2 linked regions of the Xenopus tropicalis genome follow. The protein of the gene in region 1 purifies or fractionates together with the protein of each later gene. This does not show direct contact. Links are inferred from orthologs where the notes say so. Each region holds a gene or a part of one and is shown on either strand. Other genes may lie near its edges. The genes, in order: atp5f1c and vdac1.

The links.
Region 2: the proteins of atp5f1c (region 1) and vdac1 fractionate together in Homo sapiens (co-fractionation; 3 studies listed by BioGRID, with this or other methods). This does not show direct contact. The link is inferred for Xenopus tropicalis from reciprocal best matches to the Homo sapiens genes ATP5F1C and VDAC1.

What each region holds. Positions count from the first base shown.
Region 1 is NC_030679.2:83,761,748-83,766,136, forward strand, and holds the start of atp5f1c (ATP synthase subunit gamma, mitochondrial), read right to left. Parts: upstream 3,018-4,389; 5' UTR 2,946-3,017; coding exon 2,905-2,945; intron 486-2,904; coding exon 445-485; intron 52-444; coding exon 1-51.
Region 2 is NC_030679.2:22,876,000-22,880,254, forward strand, and holds the start of vdac1 (voltage-dependent anion-selective channel protein 1), read left to right. Parts: upstream 1-1,148; 5' UTR 1,149-1,167; intron 1,168-4,255. UniProt on the Homo sapiens protein: Non-selective voltage-gated ion channel that mediates the transport of anions and cations through the mitochondrion outer membrane and plasma membrane.

The sequences.
Region 1 (4,389 bases):
TAGACTTGGTAATCTTTTGGATGTTTTTGATAGACTTAAGACGTCTTGTAACTGTTGCATGGAAGATATAAAAGCCATAAAATACACCATAGCTTGCATAACAACAACTCTTATTAAACATTTAAAGAAAAAAAGAAAAAGGTGGAATTAAATCAAATGAAATTTTTTCCTAAAAAGGAGCATCAGCCAAGGAAAATAACTTACAACACTGCACTGCCATCTTACCTTATTTCCAGGTGTCCCTGGCTTGGGCAGCAAAGTAAGTTTTTGACTTTACTCTTAGTGCTCATGCGCAACTCTCAGCACTATGAACTTTTGAAAAAGGAAAGTCAAACAGCAGTGCTATGTTAATTTTTCCCTGGGATGGCGCACTTCCTAAAATGATTACAAAATCATTTATAAGTGATGAGAATTTCTTTTACATTACCAGTGAGCAATACTTACTGTCCTTTAATGTTGCCATGTTCCTGACCTGACCCTGGCCCCTGCAAAAAGGAGGAAAAAACTTTGAATAATGCGATACCAGTCAGTGATAAGACACATGGCTGTAATTCCACCCGCTATGGGAGGTAAGGTGGTTGTGAGCCTAGAGAGCAATCTTTACAAAAGCTTTTTCTATTTTGTAATCAGTGGTAGAGCAGCGAAAACTATTTTGAAGGTTGTATTCCACAGTAAAACACCCGCCAAGGAATGCTTAGCGCCATCTTTCATTTTAGTAGAGGAGTTGAAGTGAATGCAGAGCAGGGCTCTCATCAGATGCAGAGTGATGCAGGAGTCATCCGGACCTAGCGCCAGTATAGGAGCCCCAGTGAATAAATTGGTGAGAGGATTCCATCACTTGGAGGGAAAAATTAAATTAAGCTGAGAAGGGTGGAGGGGGACACCACAGAAATAATGCCTTTACCCAAAAGTGTCCTGACACTCTTTGTGGGATAAGTGCTAACTGTATCATCGGTCTGAAAGACCTTAGACTATCAGGTCCCAACAATTTTGATCTATTGTATATTTATACAGAAGAGTTTTTCAAATCTGTATACATGCATGTAATGAATTTATTTTGCAGTTTTACAGGAACTATGGGACTTTTGGGCTGTTTTTATTGAGCTTTTTAAGAAGAAACTGCTGTTCTCTTAATGTAATTGACATTCATGCATATAAGCAATCATATTATGCTTTTAATTAATTTTCTAGCTGGCCAGCTTTTAATGTGGTGAATTCATATATTTTTTTTATCGTTATAAGGCAATAAAAATATTAGTGTGTATTAATTGGTAATTAGATTTTTAACTACACCATATCTTCTTTCACAGTAAAAAGGAGCTGGGTGCAACATTTTAAACCAGTGATTTCTTAGGGGGACTACCCCCCCCCAACAGGTGCCTGGACCACTGACAGGGAAAACTCAGCCAGAGGGCCAATTAAGGGAAGCTTTATTGAGAACGTCTACCTACTTGCTTAGAAATATACAAAAGCCCAGTTTGAAGGTCAGTTGGGTTATTTGAGGTGGCAGTACCAAAATCACACCAACTTTTAACTCCCCTAAAAAAAAATACTTTAACAACGTGACTTAAAAGTTCTTCTCTTACAAAACACTTTGTGATAGTGGATCCTAAAGATGCAAAAGTATCAGGGAATGTCCAACTAGTGCAGACCAAACTGTCTGCACACAAGTGGCTTACACCTGATCCCCATGGTTGGGGGGGCTGTCAGTTTTGAATACCTTTTCTCTGCCATTATTTGCCAAATTCTGTCTGCGGCATGAGATAAATCTAATGTCTAGGTTACATTAGAGAAACATAAGAATAGAATCAAGTTATGTCATGCAGGAATTACCAAGGTCCCTCTGAAAATTATTAGTTTATTTCTAAAATGCTTGGGCTTAAAACTTAATAGCCTTATTATAAAACCATGCCGGTTGTTTTAAGTTTACATTTCGTGGGATCTCAACCATTTGCTTAAATCTAATAAGTTACTAAAGCAGAATTCTGTAAAGGAGAACACACTGAGTAGATATTCACAAGACATGGCAAGGTGACCTCTGCACTTTCACACAACCATAAAGTTGGATACAATAAATATATACATATTCTGTAACAAAAATACTAGTTATTTTTTGTTAACTTCCTTATTAGTAAGAGCGTTACTATCCTTTAAATAGCAATGAATGCTCACTTGACAGTAGAAATTTTACATGTGTCCATAGAATAAAGTATCTGTTCTGTTAAAAAGTGTTGACAGCAAGAGGACTGCATGTTGGACAGCTCTATGCACTGTGCCAGAGGCTGGGAGTTGTAGCTGAACAACAGGTGAAGGTCATGGGGGGTTAATATGGCACTGATACTATTGAATAGAGTTTCGCTCTAATATTACTAATATTACTAAGTAATAAAGCGACGGCTTGTGATGTAGCACATAACATTATTTAGCACCATTATATGGGAACAACTTGACAAGCGTCACTTAATCATGTAAAAAATTGACAGCTATTCGTTTGACCTCCTCCCGCCTTTTATATCCAACATGTTAACCATCCTTCAGGGGGACATATTCGAACCCCAGATCCCCATTTCTACACTACCGTGTAGTACCCTGTTTCATGTTATTGACAGGGACCTTCCCAAGAGCCCAGAACAATCTACTCCAGGAGTCACACAAATACTAAATTACGGCTAAAATGCAATGAATGATGATGCTAGGGCACAGCGCTAAATGTTGCACATTTGTACTTCACTCCCAGTTGTATGATAGCCCTGACAGGCAAGGTCCGGCCGCGGCCTAGCAGGGTGAGAAATGAATATAACAGCCACTATAGATTGCGGGCTTCCCCACACCGACTCCCTGTCACTTGTTCCCCGCCACCCCCGTGTGTTGAGGGACACAAACAGTTTGGAAAGCCAGTCTCACCATTGTGACTGCAAGATGAGGACGCTGCTCCGAGACAACATGGTGACTGCAGGCAAGGTCAGTCAGCGCAGGACGCGCATGCACGGAACCGGGGCTGGAAAAGCGCGCAGCGGCCGGAAACCTCGCGATACCGCGCCATATCAGGTAAGGGCAAACCCTTTAAAAGTTATTGGTCTTCTTAATGAATTGTCCCTCCCCCAGTTATCTGAGCGGTTCAGTGCCGTAGGGACTGCTGACGTAGTTCGCGTTGCTTGAGGGACTGGGGCTGATTTCTGGTTCAGCTGCCGGAGAGCAGGCTTGGCCATGGGGAAAGCAGACTTCCTTACTCCGAAGGCAATCGCAAATCGTATCAAATCGAAAGGACTCCAGAAACTGCGATGGTACTGTCAAATGTGTCAGAAACAGTGTCGGGATGAGGTGAGGAGAAGGGAGACGGCAGTAACAATAAGGAAGTGTTGTTTATGAGGCGCAGCATGTATAGTACAGCCGTGCACGCTACAAGACTACTACAATGTTGCGTTATTAATTCAACTATTCAAGTCTGTTGGGGGCGGAGAGATGGCTGCTGTTTTCTTTATAATATGCAGTTCTGAAATCAGTTGAAGCATTTTGTATAGACTTGGGCTAAATACAGCAGCACCCACCGTAGTCCTGTTCGGGTAAACCCAAAGAGGATTTTACATCAGTATCATGCGTTGTGGACTACACTGGTTGTGAACTGGTTTCTTTTTAGCCTTTGTTTATCATATGACGCTTACAGTCTAACTTCGGGATCCACAACTTTTTTTTACCGGCGAGCCACGTTCATATGTAAAAAAAATGTTGGAGAGCATCACAGACATGCCATATTTTCCAAGGGGTGCCAATAATGGTCTCTAATTGGTTATTTGGTAGCATCTACAGTGGTGTGAAAAACTATTTGCCCCCTTCCTGATTTCTTATTCTTTTGCATGTTTGTCACACAAAATGTTTCTGATCATCAAACACATTTAACTATTAGTCAAAGATAACACAAGTAAACACAAAATGCAGTTTTTAAATGAGGGTTTTTATTATTTAGGGAGAAAAAAAATCCAAACCTACATGGCCCTGTGTGAAAAAGTAATTGCCCCCGGAACCTAATAACTGGTTGGGCCACCCTTAGCAGCAATAACTGCAATCAAGTGTTTGCAACGAGTCTTTTACCGCGCTCTGGAGGAATTTTGGCCCACTCATCTTTGCAGAATTGTTGTAATTCAGCTTTATTTGAGGGTTTTCTAGCATGAACCGCCTTTTTAAGGTCATGCCACAACATCTCAATAGGATTCAGGTCAGGACTTTGACTAGGCCACTCCAAAGTCTTCATTTTGTTTTTCTTCAGCCATTCAGAGGTGGATTTGCTGGTGTGTTTTGGGTCATTGTCCTGCTGCAGCACCCAAGATCGCTTCAGCTTGAGTTGACGAACAGATGGCCGGACATTCTCCTTCAGGATTTTTTGGTAGACAG
Region 2 (4,255 bases), about 61 Mb from region 1:
TGTGACATAAAGTTGTCATGCAGCAAGTTTATAAACTTGTTCCCATTTACTGTCCTGGCAGTACTATTGCCCCAGTCAATATCAGGGTATATATATTTGTTTAGAGTCTTATATTGTGTTACAGTATTGGAATTACACATTGTAATTTGTATGTAAACTAACAATGGCCATACCCAGGCTGATCTCCTAAGCTGTAACAGGCCTGTGTGCTAAATGGATGGAGAGCTACAAAGGGGCTCCACAAAAATAATGCCCCCCCTTATTATTGTTACAATAGTTCCTTCAGTGCCAGATGTGTGCAGTTACTACTCCACATGTAGCTGTAATATGTTTAATACATTTTGTTGTGTAAAATTCTGTTCACATATTAATGTGATTTGGTGACTGCCCTTGATAAAATCAGACATAATCTTTATTACGGGTGGGACGTAGCCAAGTCACCAGCACAGAAAAAAATAACATTTTATTGAACCGTCTTTTGACATAATTAATGCACAAAGCACATTGGCGGCCTGTCGTCCAAATATACAGACTAGCACTGGTATTCTTTCCAGTCGCCATTTATAGAACACAGGAGGTCAAGCAGCAGCTGTGAGGAAAAATCCAGCGTGCGGGGAGGGGGCTGCCGTGAACTAATAATACACACTGCACAATAACATGCCTTTCCCTACCAGTTCAAGGGACTACGAGGCTAACATCTATTTATGTACTGGGCAAGCACTAGAGTCACCTAGCCATTAGCAGGCACTAGTATCAGCCAGCCATTAGCAGGCACTAGTATCAGCCAGCCATTAGCAGGCACTAGTATCAGCCAGCCAATAGCAGGCACTAGTATCAGCCAGCCAATAGCAGGCACTAGTATCAGCCAGCCATTAGCAGGCACTAGTATCAGCCAGCCATTAGCAGGCACTAGAATCAGCCAGCCATTAGCAGGCACTAGTATCAGCCAGCCATTAGCAGGCACTAGTATCAGCCAGCCATTAGCAGGCAGCCCATTACTAGCCCTCATTCAGCGGTCAGGGCTGTGGGATCAGGTTCCAGGGGGCGTGGCGGTGACGTCAGCAGCGCCTTCCCTGAGCTTTCCGCGGTGCCCCGCCCCCTGCTCCCCTTGCACTGTCACTCAGCTCTCCAGCAGCAGCAGCAGCAGGCAGCCTCTCAGCTAGGAAGGTAAGGTGGAAACCCAGCTAAAAACCCACGTTTTAACCCGAAACCTGCCGTCATTCAAATAGTCCGTGATTGTAGATACTGATGTGTGCGACGATACACGTTGAGCAGAATGATATGCCTTTGTAAATAACCGCTAAGCGAGGAGGCCAAGAGCGAAGGGCGACCTTTGCGTAATATTGCACAGTGTACGGCAGCCCGCTGGCTGCTTCCGTGATGGCGACTTTAATTCATCCATCGTTAGCCCGTAGCGCGGTGCTGAGTGCGCAAATGCATCATGGGTAATACGCCCGGCCCTGGCTTACACCCCTTGTCCGTATGGATTAGCCACTAATTCTCTGTATACACCGAGCTGGGACCTCATAATGTGGAACAAAATTCATCCTACGCACCAATATATATCTACTACATTCATGTGACGTTGGTCTTTAATAATGGCACCCTTTATTATATCCTTATAATGTTCGTGTTCGATAATATATATATACATACACACACACATATATATATATATATACATACATATACATACACACACACATATATATATATATATATATATACATACATATATTTATCTATATTATATCTCCTTATAATGTTCATTGTACAGTTATAAATACTGTAACTGGTATTGTTGCATATATATATATATATATATCTACACACACATGTATGTGTGTATATAATATATATATATATATATATATAGTACATATATATATATATATATACAGTACGTACATGTCTGTGACAAACAGGACTGTCCCTCATTCTAACATTTAAATGGTTTCAGTCAGATGCATGTATAAGTGGGATAATATGTACAATACTCCCATATAGTAGATTTGGTAGCTTGTGCAAATGTCCAAAAAAAGATAAAATATCTGTGTATATAAGGAATTTCCCTAATAAAACATTAATGGCTGCCGCTAGGAATATACTGCTTACATGAATATTGTACTACACACACACACAGGCTTTTGAGCGGAAGGTGACCTTTATTGTGGAAGCCATCAGTGTATGTATCCTAATGCATGATTGCACCAGGCTCCATGAGAGCCGGCCCTAAGCATCATGAAAGAGATGGAGGTATTTTTAGTGGACAGTGCCGCTTTTTTTTTTTTTCCTCCCCCAATTGGTGGGAACATCAGTCTTACACATACACGTCAATGTAACAAGAAACCATTATAATATAAGGTGTACATTACAGCAATGTGCGGATATTCAGTCATTGGGACTGAAACTTACATTTAGGGGCTTATTTACTAAATTCCACAGGCACAGTCGTCAATAGCATTAGCAAGCAATCAATAAGCTAGCTAGAAAATGAAAGCAAATATCTGATTTGTTGCTATGGGTAACTGTATTGGTGGAAATTAGCACCTGTGTAAGTAAATCAGCTTGGTAAAGTCTAGCTCAAGGAACTTATATTATGCTCAGTAAATTATACATGTATAGGACCCATTATCCAGAATGCTTGGGACCAAGGGTGTTCCAAATTATGGAAAAACCTCTTATCCAGATCTTCATACCTCAACTCTAGGAAAAAATCACTTAAACATTAATTAAACCCAATTTGATTGTTTTGCCTCCAATAAGGATTAATTGTATTTTATTTGGGATCAAGTACAAGGTACTGTTTTATTATTACAGAGAAAAAGGAAATCAATTTTAAAAATCTAAATTATATGATTAAAATGGAGTCTATGGGCATAATTCGGAGATTTCTGGATAACTGGTTTCCGGTTAATGGATCCCATACCTGTAGTATGTAATATAGTATACAATTATACTGGCTTATTTTAGCTGTACAAGTATAGGATCCCTAATTCATAAACATGTTACCTAGAAAACTGAATTATGGGAAGGCAATCTCAGCTTTAATAGAGTCCATATTAAGCAAATAATTCAAATTTTTAAAAGTGATTTCTTTTTTCTCTGCAATAATAAATCAGAACCTTGTACTTGATGGCAACTAAGCTGCATGAATCCATATTGGTAGTAAAACAATCCTGTTGGGTTTATTTGTTTGTTTAATATTTAAATGATTTTTAGTGGACTTAAAGTGTGGGGACCCAAACTATAGAAAGATCCCTTATCTGGAAAAACCCCAAGAATTTTGAATAATAGATCCTGTATCTGTATTAATTAATTGCATGAGTGCTGATGCTCTGCCCAGGTAACTCACTGCAGCAATGTAAGGCTTACTTGCCTATACAAAGTACCAATGCCTGGCATTATTATCTTCTACTTACCAGGAAAAGCCAAGCACACCTTTTATTATTGAAAATCAAAGTGAGTAACTATATATAAATCACTATTAATATAGGCAACCTTTAATCATTCTGCTGAAGGTCAAAAGGGCCATTCCTGGCTGTCCAATATACCGATAATCCTTTTGTGGATTTTCAGAAAGGTGGATGATGTCCATTACATAATTAAGATTTTGCTCCAGCCAATTGTAATTTATGTGTATAAACCCCATAAAGGCAAAAGGCATGGGTTTTGGCTTTTTGGGGTTTTTTTTTAGACTAGTTTTGTTGCTGAGCTGAGTTGTGCCTCTAAAATAAGGTGTCATCTGACTCTGGCTTTGAAGGACACTCCTCATTTGGCACCGTCCATCATTCCAAAGAAATGTCATTGCTGTGAATGTCTCCACGTGCTCATTTGTGCAGAAATGTTTTATATGGCTGAAAATATCAGTTTCTGATAAAAGTACATTTGTGAACTTTTACTGGACAGGGTTTTAAGGTTTTTTTTAAACAGAAGAGTGAGATGTGCTGTATTGTTTATATCTCTAAGAGCTGAAATGAAAAAGAATAAAACACTGCATTGGGTATTGACCAGCGCTGTGTTACAGTGTTTTATGATATTGCAGTGCCTAGGGGATAGATCAGGAGACAGGAATAGGCATATTAAATGTCTTTCTAGTGCAGGTAATGTAGATAAGTTAGAAGTATACATAATTTTCCCTTGTTGGGTCTGTTTACAGATTAATATGAATCTGTTTATGGTCACTAAGGATGATGGTCCCATTTGGTTTGTAGGAAGTAAAAGCAAATATGTCACCTAGTATTTAATGGCCCTT